2 linked regions of the Oryzias latipes genome follow. The protein of the gene in region 2 binds, or shares a complex with, the protein of the main gene of each other region. Links are inferred from orthologs where the notes say so. Each region holds a gene or a part of one and is shown on either strand. Other genes may lie near its edges. The genes, in order: transcription termination factor 4, mitochondrial; nsun4.

Evidence for each region.
Region 1: the proteins of nsun4 (region 2) and transcription termination factor 4, mitochondrial are in contact, whole or in part, in a crystal structure (PDB 4FP9), measured with the Homo sapiens proteins. The link is inferred for Oryzias latipes from reciprocal best matches to the Homo sapiens genes NSUN4 and MTERF4. Residues at the interface, in NP_950245.2 of Homo sapiens: Pro61, Ser62, Arg64, Val65, Leu68, Ser69, Glu70, Arg136, Gly137, Asp138, Ile139, Arg141, Asn367, Leu368, Met369; in NP_872307.2 of Homo sapiens: Tyr267, Glu269, Arg270, Leu271, Gly272, Arg273, Glu311, Glu312, Val315, Phe316, Lys318, Leu319, Arg322, Glu323, Glu326.

Annotation. Positions count from the first base shown.
Region 1 is NC_019875.2:23,369,840-23,373,994, reverse strand, and holds transcription termination factor 4, mitochondrial, read left to right. Parts: upstream 1-1,494; 5' UTR 1,495-1,580; coding exon 1,581-1,622; intron 1,623-1,882; coding exon 1,883-2,312; intron 2,313-2,406; coding exon 2,407-2,591; intron 2,592-2,971; coding exon 2,972-3,352; 3' UTR 3,353-3,499; downstream 3,500-4,155. UniProt on the Homo sapiens protein: Regulator of mitochondrial ribosome biogenesis and translation. Binds to mitochondrial ribosomal RNAs 16S, 12S and 7S and targets NSUN4 RNA methyltransferase to the mitochondrial large ribosomal subunit (39S).
Region 2 is NC_019875.2:13,892,082-13,896,371, forward strand, and holds the start of nsun4 (5-methylcytosine rRNA methyltransferase NSUN4), read right to left. Parts: upstream 3,100-4,290; 5' UTR 3,057-3,099; coding exon 2,961-3,056; intron 2,527-2,960; coding exon 2,301-2,526; intron 2,208-2,300; coding exon 2,066-2,207; intron 1,996-2,065; coding exon 1,841-1,995; intron 1,747-1,840; coding exon 1,586-1,746; intron 1,500-1,585; coding exon 1,375-1,499; intron 1-1,374. Other genes in the region: cytochrome b-c1 complex subunit 6, mitochondrial, read left to right, coding at 3,349-3,396, 3,707-3,766. UniProt on the Homo sapiens protein: Mitochondrial RNA cytosine C(5)-methyltransferase that methylates cytosine to 5-methylcytosine (m5C) in various RNAs, such as rRNAs, mRNAs and some long non-coding RNAs (lncRNAs).

The sequences.
Region 1 (4,155 bases), about 9.5 Mb from region 2:
GACATTAAAGAATCCTCTTTCCTTTAAAGAGCAGTGTCATGAGTTTTTATGAACATAAAGGTGTTTCTTCGGTGGAATTGATCCCAAGAGTAATAGCTCAACTGTTAAGGCTGATCCACCCCAAACTCAAATATTTGCATGGATTTGGGTTCATGCATTGTTGCTTGCATGTATATTTCAGCCCCACCCCTATAGTTTCTGCTAGAATGAGATCTGAACTCGCCAAACAAATCTCCTTTTTGGTTTTATCCGAACTCCAACCTTAGTACAGTTACATTTACCTGACATCATCACCCTTCCCTCCTCTGAGCATATCCAAGCCATCTCAATTTCTTTGCCTGCATTTTTCTTCAAAACATCTAACATTATCTTTTCCTCCGATGTTTTTATTCCTGATCCTATCCATCCTGGTCCCTTCCAAAGAGAACCTCAACATTTTCAGCTGTGTCTCTTTTACCTTTCCTTTCATTCTTGCTGACATTCTTTAGACAAACTTCATACCTAAAACCTTCCTCCACTCATTCCAACCTGCTTCCTCAAGCCTTTTCACCTCTTTCCCAAAATCTGTTGTCCTGAACAACTCCAACGTACTTTTTTGCCACTTCAGACTTCCTTATTAAAACCAGTGACTTCTGAACTAAGTCGTGCTCCATAACAGGCGCCTCTTCCACTCTGCTTTCTCTAATTTTCCTCATTTATCAGATCTTCAAAGTTCCTCTTCCATCTTTCCATCACACTTGAGGAACCTGTCAACACACTTTAATCTCAGTCCTTGATCCCCAAAACTAGCTGCACATTCTTTCATCTCTGTTTCTCTGCCTTGTCAACCTGTATAAACCCACCTATCCATCCGTTGTGCCCAACCTGTCTTATAAGTCTTCATATGCCCTTTGTTTGGCTTCTGCCACCTTCCCCTACTGCTGCATTTCATGTTTTTTGTCTGCTGTCTTCTGTCCTCTCAGTGTCCCACTTTTCTTTTCTTCTTTTTTTATTCACAGTAGGATAGAACATCTTAAAAAAACTTTAAGATGTTCTAAAAGCATTAAAAAGCATTTCTCTCTTTCCAGATCGTCTCTTGAAAAATAGGATATCATCCTTTTTTCTTCCTTTGCAACATCTCAAACAAACTAGTTTTCCCTGTTAACAAACTTCCATTTAGTTTCTACTCTACACGGCTGTTTCTCCTTTACTGTTTACCTATGACCATGCCTCCCTCCTTCCCTTTGACCAACAACAGTCTATTCATGGTCACATATGATTTTCCTTTGACCAACAACAGTCTATTCATGGTCGCATATCTGATTTGCCTTGGGTTTTTGTCAGAAGCTCCTCCTGACCCCAACCCTCAGCATGTACCTGAACATGGGACTGGCACACCAAAGCAATGGATTTGACTTTGTATTAGTAGCCACAAATGGCTCAGCAATAAATTATTTTATCAAATCAGTTTATATTTTTAAATGACCTCCCTTTTTTCCATACTCGTTTTATTTGACTAATTTTTAAATACAAGCATAAACTAGAACTAAAACGAACGGAACCTTTCAATGTATTGCTGTAGTTTCTAGACGGAACAGAATATGCCACGGACAAGCATGGGTATGCGAATTGCTGCTAGGCAGGTGATTGAAGGTTTATGTGTATACAACTTTAAATATATTTACGGTGCAGGTTAAGTTTATTCCCAAGTATACCGTGTTAATTTATTGAATGATAAAAATAAAAGTGTTGACAGATCCTCTCCTTTTTTTAAAATAACCTTCTCTTGTTTGCCTAACTCTCTGTACTGGCATGTCCTTTTATTATTTCTTATTAACTTGTTTATTTTTGAATCCAGCTGTTAGTGAACCAATTTACGATAAAACATTGCTTTGATTTGCAGATATTTTACTGGACTTGTAGGGATTCGTCCTTCGTGTTTAGTCTTCCCCACGCCAGGATACATCATCTCCCGTGTCTGCGCTTTGGAACCAGAGGGCTGTGCTCTTCCTCAGATCATTTTCAGTCAAATCAGCGACCCCATGAACCACCTCCATGGACAGCAAAGCCGGTTTCCGAGCTGTCCCCGCGCTCTCTGGTTGACATGGGCTGCACAGACTCACAGGCTGAGGAAATATACCAATGTGTGTGCAGCATCAGAGGAGAAGGAGCTGCCAGACATGCTTTATCAACACTTACAGCCCTTTTTGTCCTGGGTCTTAATTCCTCCAGTGTGGTGAAAGTGCTTAACAAATGTCCTGAACTATGTAGTGTCAAAGAGGTACAGCTTCAGCAGAGAATAAGCAACCTGCGGAAGCTGGGATTACTGGAAGGTGAGTATGATCATGTATCATAAGATCACACAAAAAAGAGCAAATGCTGCACTTAACCAGCTCAAACCCCCTATTTTACCTGTTTCTCACATAGGGAGTCTTCAGAGAGTTGTGGTCCACTACCCTAAAATACTGACTGTGCCTGTGAAGTCAGTCAAAAATGTGGTGCTCTTTCTCAAAGAGAAGTGCCTTTTTACAACGCAGCAGGTCACAGACATCCTCAGAGACAGTCCAGCCGTGGTACTGGAGGACAAGAATCAACTGGAGTACAAGTTTCAGGTCAGCAAACAAGATGATCTGTATATTTATACATGTTAAAATAAAATACTAATGATCAAAAACAACTGGTAAACCTGTCACATATAACACTGGTCTGGGAGGAGTTGTTCCTCTGACTGAAATACAGTACAACAATGCAGATTTATTAACTTCCTCAAAGCACCAATTAAAATTTATGACCCGCAGCAGTAAAATTGTAAAATGCAGCTAGTTTTTGTTTGTTTGTTTGTTTGTTTTTTGTCTGGTGTGTGAAGAATGGTGAACCTTGCCATTTAAATCTTCGTGTTAGTCCGTATTTTGTTTTAAAAGATTTTTTTGTGTTGAAGAAATTCTCCCTGCTTGTTATTTATACCAGCATATGTTAACCCATCTGTCCACAGTATGTTTACTTCAGAATGGGAGTCAAACAGACAGATATGGTGAAGTGCAAGATGTTTCGTTTCACTCTCGATGAGCTGCGCTGTCGACACCTTTTTCTTGAGCGGCGAGGCCTGTACCAGACCCCAGATAAGAAGGGACAGACGACCATCATCAACCCCAAACTGGCCAGCATCCTCGATGTGGACCAGGACACCTTCGTCACAAGTGTTGCCCGGGCATCTGCAGAAGAATATGATGTGTTTCAGAAACTTGTGGCAAGAGAGTGGAAGGAGGAGGGGTTACAGGGCAAAATAGAAGCTGATAGTGATGCTGAAGAAGATGAGGGGGAGGAGGAGGAGATTGGTGGAAGAAATGGATATAGAAAGACAAAAAAGAAATAACAGTTTAAGACAAAAAATGAAATGGAGAAGGAATACAATTTTATGAAAAGCAAAAAGGAAGTTTTCTAAAAAAAAAAAAAAAAACAAGGATACAATTGTGCTGTTTTATAAGCAGATAATAAAAATTTTATCTTAACCAAACATGCAGCATTGCTTCTCAGCCTCTTCTATTTAATTAGGATCTATTTGATGTGGAGTTGACTTTTTTGTGTTTATTTAAGTGTTGTCATCGGGATGCTGGTGTGAGACAGAGTTAAATGACGGTAAGCTGACATTATTTCAGAGTTCTGATCATTTAGATACCAGCTAAAATTGATTTCTAGTTGCAACTTTTTTGCCAAGTTATAAACAGAACAGATATGAAACTCAATTTAGGTCAATAAAAAACACTAACAAAAAAGAAAAATGCATAAAGAGCTTTAGCTTCCCCTTTTTTTAAAATTTAGATTTAAACTAAAAATTGCAAACCGGTAAAAACAACACCGTATTGAGCACTTACAATGGTAAAAGCTCCACCCTGTTGCTATGTGATACCCAAGTGCCTGTAGCTTTTTGCATCTATAAGTTATCACTGAGTCAACAAAGAGTACATCAGATAAGGACATGGAATGAGAGAAGTCATACACAAACCATTGATTTATGCTGCAGTGGGTGGTTTTCCGTATTGGACGCAAGGTAAGGTTGTTTGGATCTGTCAACAGCTTTTACTCGATATTTTTTTGTTTTAGCTTTCTATTAAAGTGAGAGATTCTACATAAGCAGTAAGGATTCAGAGTAATAGCGTTATAAAGCCACTTCTGTTC
Region 2 (4,290 bases):
TACGTAAATCTTACAAAATTGTGCGTGATTTTTCTGAGATGCATACACAAATTTGTAGCTGTCCACAACTGTTCCACGGATGATTAAGGGACGTTTCATGCGTGTACCACGATGCATCGCTTTCATATACGGCACATCAGGTTAAAAATGACATACTTGACGCACAAATATTGGCCCAAATTTTGCTTTTACATTGGTTTAAGGGTTTGACGTGGTTTATTCGTGATACATCTGTGTTAATTTCACATAAATATCACCATCTGGAACGTATATTCACGTAAATAAAGCTTCACAAAATCCTCCAGGTCTTTCATCTTCCAGCACGGCTTCAATAAACAGACAACTTGGTGTTTATGTTCTCATTATTTAAGGCTTTTTTTCTCATTAATTCACTGAACAAATTTTTTTTTTCCAATTTTAAAAACACAAATTTAGAAGAAAAAAAGCCATAGATTTAGCCTCTGACTTTAAAAGTGGGAAATATTACTTTCTTACAACTTGTCTCATAAATCTGACTTTCCTCTCATAAATTTTCCTTTTTTTGAAGTCGTAAATGTAAGAAATTTAAAGTAATAAATTTACAACTTTAAAAAAGACATACATTTACAAGAAAAAGTCATAAATTTACAACTTTATTCTCAAAATATTTAAATTTTCTCGTAAATCTACGACTTACGACGCAATTAATAAAAACCTTTTTTGTAAAATGGTCCGAATACTCCCTTATACTCCTGCGTTGATGAGCTTTTTTCTAACAGTGATTGTTCTTGGAGCACATTGTTCTTCATAGCAGTAAGTTGACCCCTCAAAGCTACAGAGTAGATTTATTTGGTTTGTATTATTTAAAGAAATTTACCTGCTGTGTTCATTCGTACCCTTTAAAAAATAACAACGCAGCATTGTGTCTCTGTCAAAGTATTACTCAAAATTATAAACCTCAAGGCCACATTTACTGACACTAACTACAGTGTAATTATGAAATTTGGAACTAACAAACTTTTTAGACCAATATTTTCAACACTTTATCTAGCTGCACATAGAGGAAAGAGCTTTAAAAAAATCAAATGAGGATTAAGAATAAAGTCTCATCCATTACAAGTTTAATTGAAATATTTTTCTATATTTAACGTTTTTAACTGTAGAATCTAGAAAATATACGGGAAATTTAAATTTCAACCAGAAAGAAGAATAAATTAAAGTGTTCTTTCTTCAAGCAAACAAATAAAGCACTTAAAAAGTGCATCCCACTTCTGTAATTCCTTACAAGTTTGACAAATATTCCTCTAACTTTGTGGGAAAATAAATAATAAATCACAAAAATAAAAACTTTTGTACAAATGTGTCCAATCTATGACTTCTGTGAATCAAACTTACAGGAGCAGCTCCGCCTGTAGCTGTGGCAGCCTTCGTCTCTCTCCAGTCCTGCTTTTACTGAATATATTGTTGTCATCCTCCATAAGTGAATGCCGGTCTGTGGTGCACGGAACATCAACAAGGACCTGAACTCAAAAACAAAAGTACCTGATCAGGTCAGGAATTTCCGAAAGGTCAAAATAAATGTTTTTTTTTGGTGGTGGGGCCTTACTCTGTCAAATGTGTTTTTCTCAATCTCCCCCCATGTGGTGCCATCAAACGAGCTGATGCGGACTCGCTCATCTGTCAGAAACTGTTTAGGAACATAGCTGTGGAGGACTTTCCTCAGCCGTGATGTTCTAGAAGTCGAGGCATCGTTTACACACAAAAACCCTGTTGGGTAAACACAACGTGGAGAGAAATTAGGAAAACTAGAAGTCAGAGAGAGACCAAGAAAGATGTTTAAGAGAAATGAGTGATCACTCACTCACGAGCTGAGTCTGAAGTAAAGCCAGGGTCTTTCCGCCTGGAGCAGCACACAGATCAAGCACAGTGTGACCTTCCTGAACATCAAGCGCCAAACATGGCAACACAGACGCTGCATCCATGAGGTAGTAGCCCAACAGGCCGTGGCTATCTGGTCTTAAGTAAAAGATACCAGAAGATCAAACTGCAGTGACCTTCAGAAAAAAAAATTCAGACGTTTGCTCACCTGGCAGGCTTAAATCGAGTGACATCACCTCTTGGAAACACATAGCACTTGATATTTGGGCTGAGTGGTGGAGGAGACAATTGTTGATCATTACCATCAGCACCACTGGTTTGCTTCTTAGCACCAATCTCCGATGGTTCAGCTACAGAGACAAAGAATGTAGCAACTGACCTCTGACCTTTTACACAGAAAATAATCAGCAACATCACTGCAAATGCTGTGAACCAAAACATACCCCCTCCATGTCTTTCACTGATGAAGTCTCTACATCTCTGGGCTTGGAGATCAGTTATACCAACGTCAACATCAAAGGAGAAATTATTGAGCAGGGCGCCATACTTCTTCTCTGTCAACAGGGCGACTCGCACTGAGGGCCACAGCTCCCCCAGCTGGGTACCATAGGTGGCGTCAAAATGCTGCAGGGCCAGCCTGGTGGGTGGGTGTTTGACACGTGTCGCAGCCTAAAAAGAGCAAAACAAATGTTATTTTTTTTTTTTTACAATTTAACTGTTCTGTTTTGTTTATTTATTTGTAGCAGTTTTGTATTTGTCTAATAACGTAAATCTAAAAGGTAATAAAACTATACTATTTTATTATTTTATTCATTAAATGTAAACAAAAAAGTTTCCCACCCACAGTAAATTTATAAATATACTTTTTTTTAAATAGAAGGAAAAAAATGAACCTGAGGTAATGTATAACACACATTTTAACAAGCAGGTGGTAAATAATAATTATTAGCTTAAATCTTTATTTTCAGTGGGTGCTGAGTAAAACAATAGTTCTCTTATGTCGTAAAATCAAAATTATTATAGACTTTCTATTTGCACTTTCTTTAAATAGAATTAAACAAACATTACAAACGGCTTTTTGTATTAAAGGTTTTTAAATGTACCCATTTCTCTTTGACTCGGTTCCTCCGGGGCGTCAAAAACCTTACATCTGTCGTTTTTCTGAGCAGAAGCCTGCTGCTCGGTAGAAACAAGGCCATGCTTCGGTCCAACCCGGTTTATGCTCCGTCGTTCCCGTCGATTCACAAAAAACATAGTTCCGCACTTGCACGTAAAAAAAGCAATTGGCCAGGGCAAAGCTTAACTCTAATATGATTGGACAACATAAACGTCAATCATAATTGAACCAATAGAATGTGATTTTGCGTGAGTTTTTTTTTATTCGGAGCAGTTTCCGGCGTGTGACCGACCTTGCTTTCTCCAGTAGGGACATTGACGAGTCGTGAGTTTGATTCGCCGACTTTTCGAGAAGGTTCGCCGGTGGAAAAAAAAATGGGATTTGAGACGAAGATGCTTACATACGGAGAGCCGGACGATGAGGTATGAAAAGTACTATCAATCACCATTTTGAGTTACTATAGAAGCTAAAGTTTTAAGCTTGTCAGCTAACTCTGCTGCTCAGAGTAAGTTTAGCTGTAACGTTCGGCTTCATGCCCCAACCCCAACTCAGTCACGTACTCCCACTGTATACTATAAGTGTGTCTAGAAGCACTAGCATGTTGCTGTAGAGACAGTTAGAAATTGTATACAAAAGTTAGGAGTAAAATACTTTTCTTGAGGCTTAATTTGTAAAATTACAGTCCTTTGATTTATCAAACTCAGCACAATAGATAAACTAGTGTTTATGTAGGAGGAAGATGCACCTGCAGAGGAGGAGGAAGAAGAAGAAGAGGAGGAGGAAGAAATGGTGGTAAGTATGAAAATTATGTAAACTGAGTATTATATTCATACTTGTTTAGTTTATTTATAAGCTAAGAAATCAGATACATAAATGAAGTAGTTTAAGTCTGTTCCGCTGCCGTCCCAGACTGCAAGGACCAGATTGTTCTTTTTTCTTATTGCGCCTTTGAGCAAAGATTTCACCCCCACCACATTCTCAAAATCTGTACACACCCAGTTCCCAGGGAGAGGGAAATCTAGGCATGGCGAACGACCCTACCCCTCCCAACAAGCGATGACATTACAGCTGGGAAAAAACGTCTAAAAATGAATGTGGTGCAAAAACCTATTTTAAAAGACATTAACAAAACCAAAACACACGTGTAGGGATATCATAGGGAAGTTTTGAAATTATTATGGGATGGCCACACGACCTATAACCTGTAGACTGTAAAAACAATGGATGAATCGATCCGTTCATGCACGCTCAAATTTTAAGTCACTTCCTCCTCCTTATTGCCACAATTAAGCAATTTGATTTATATTTACTCGGGC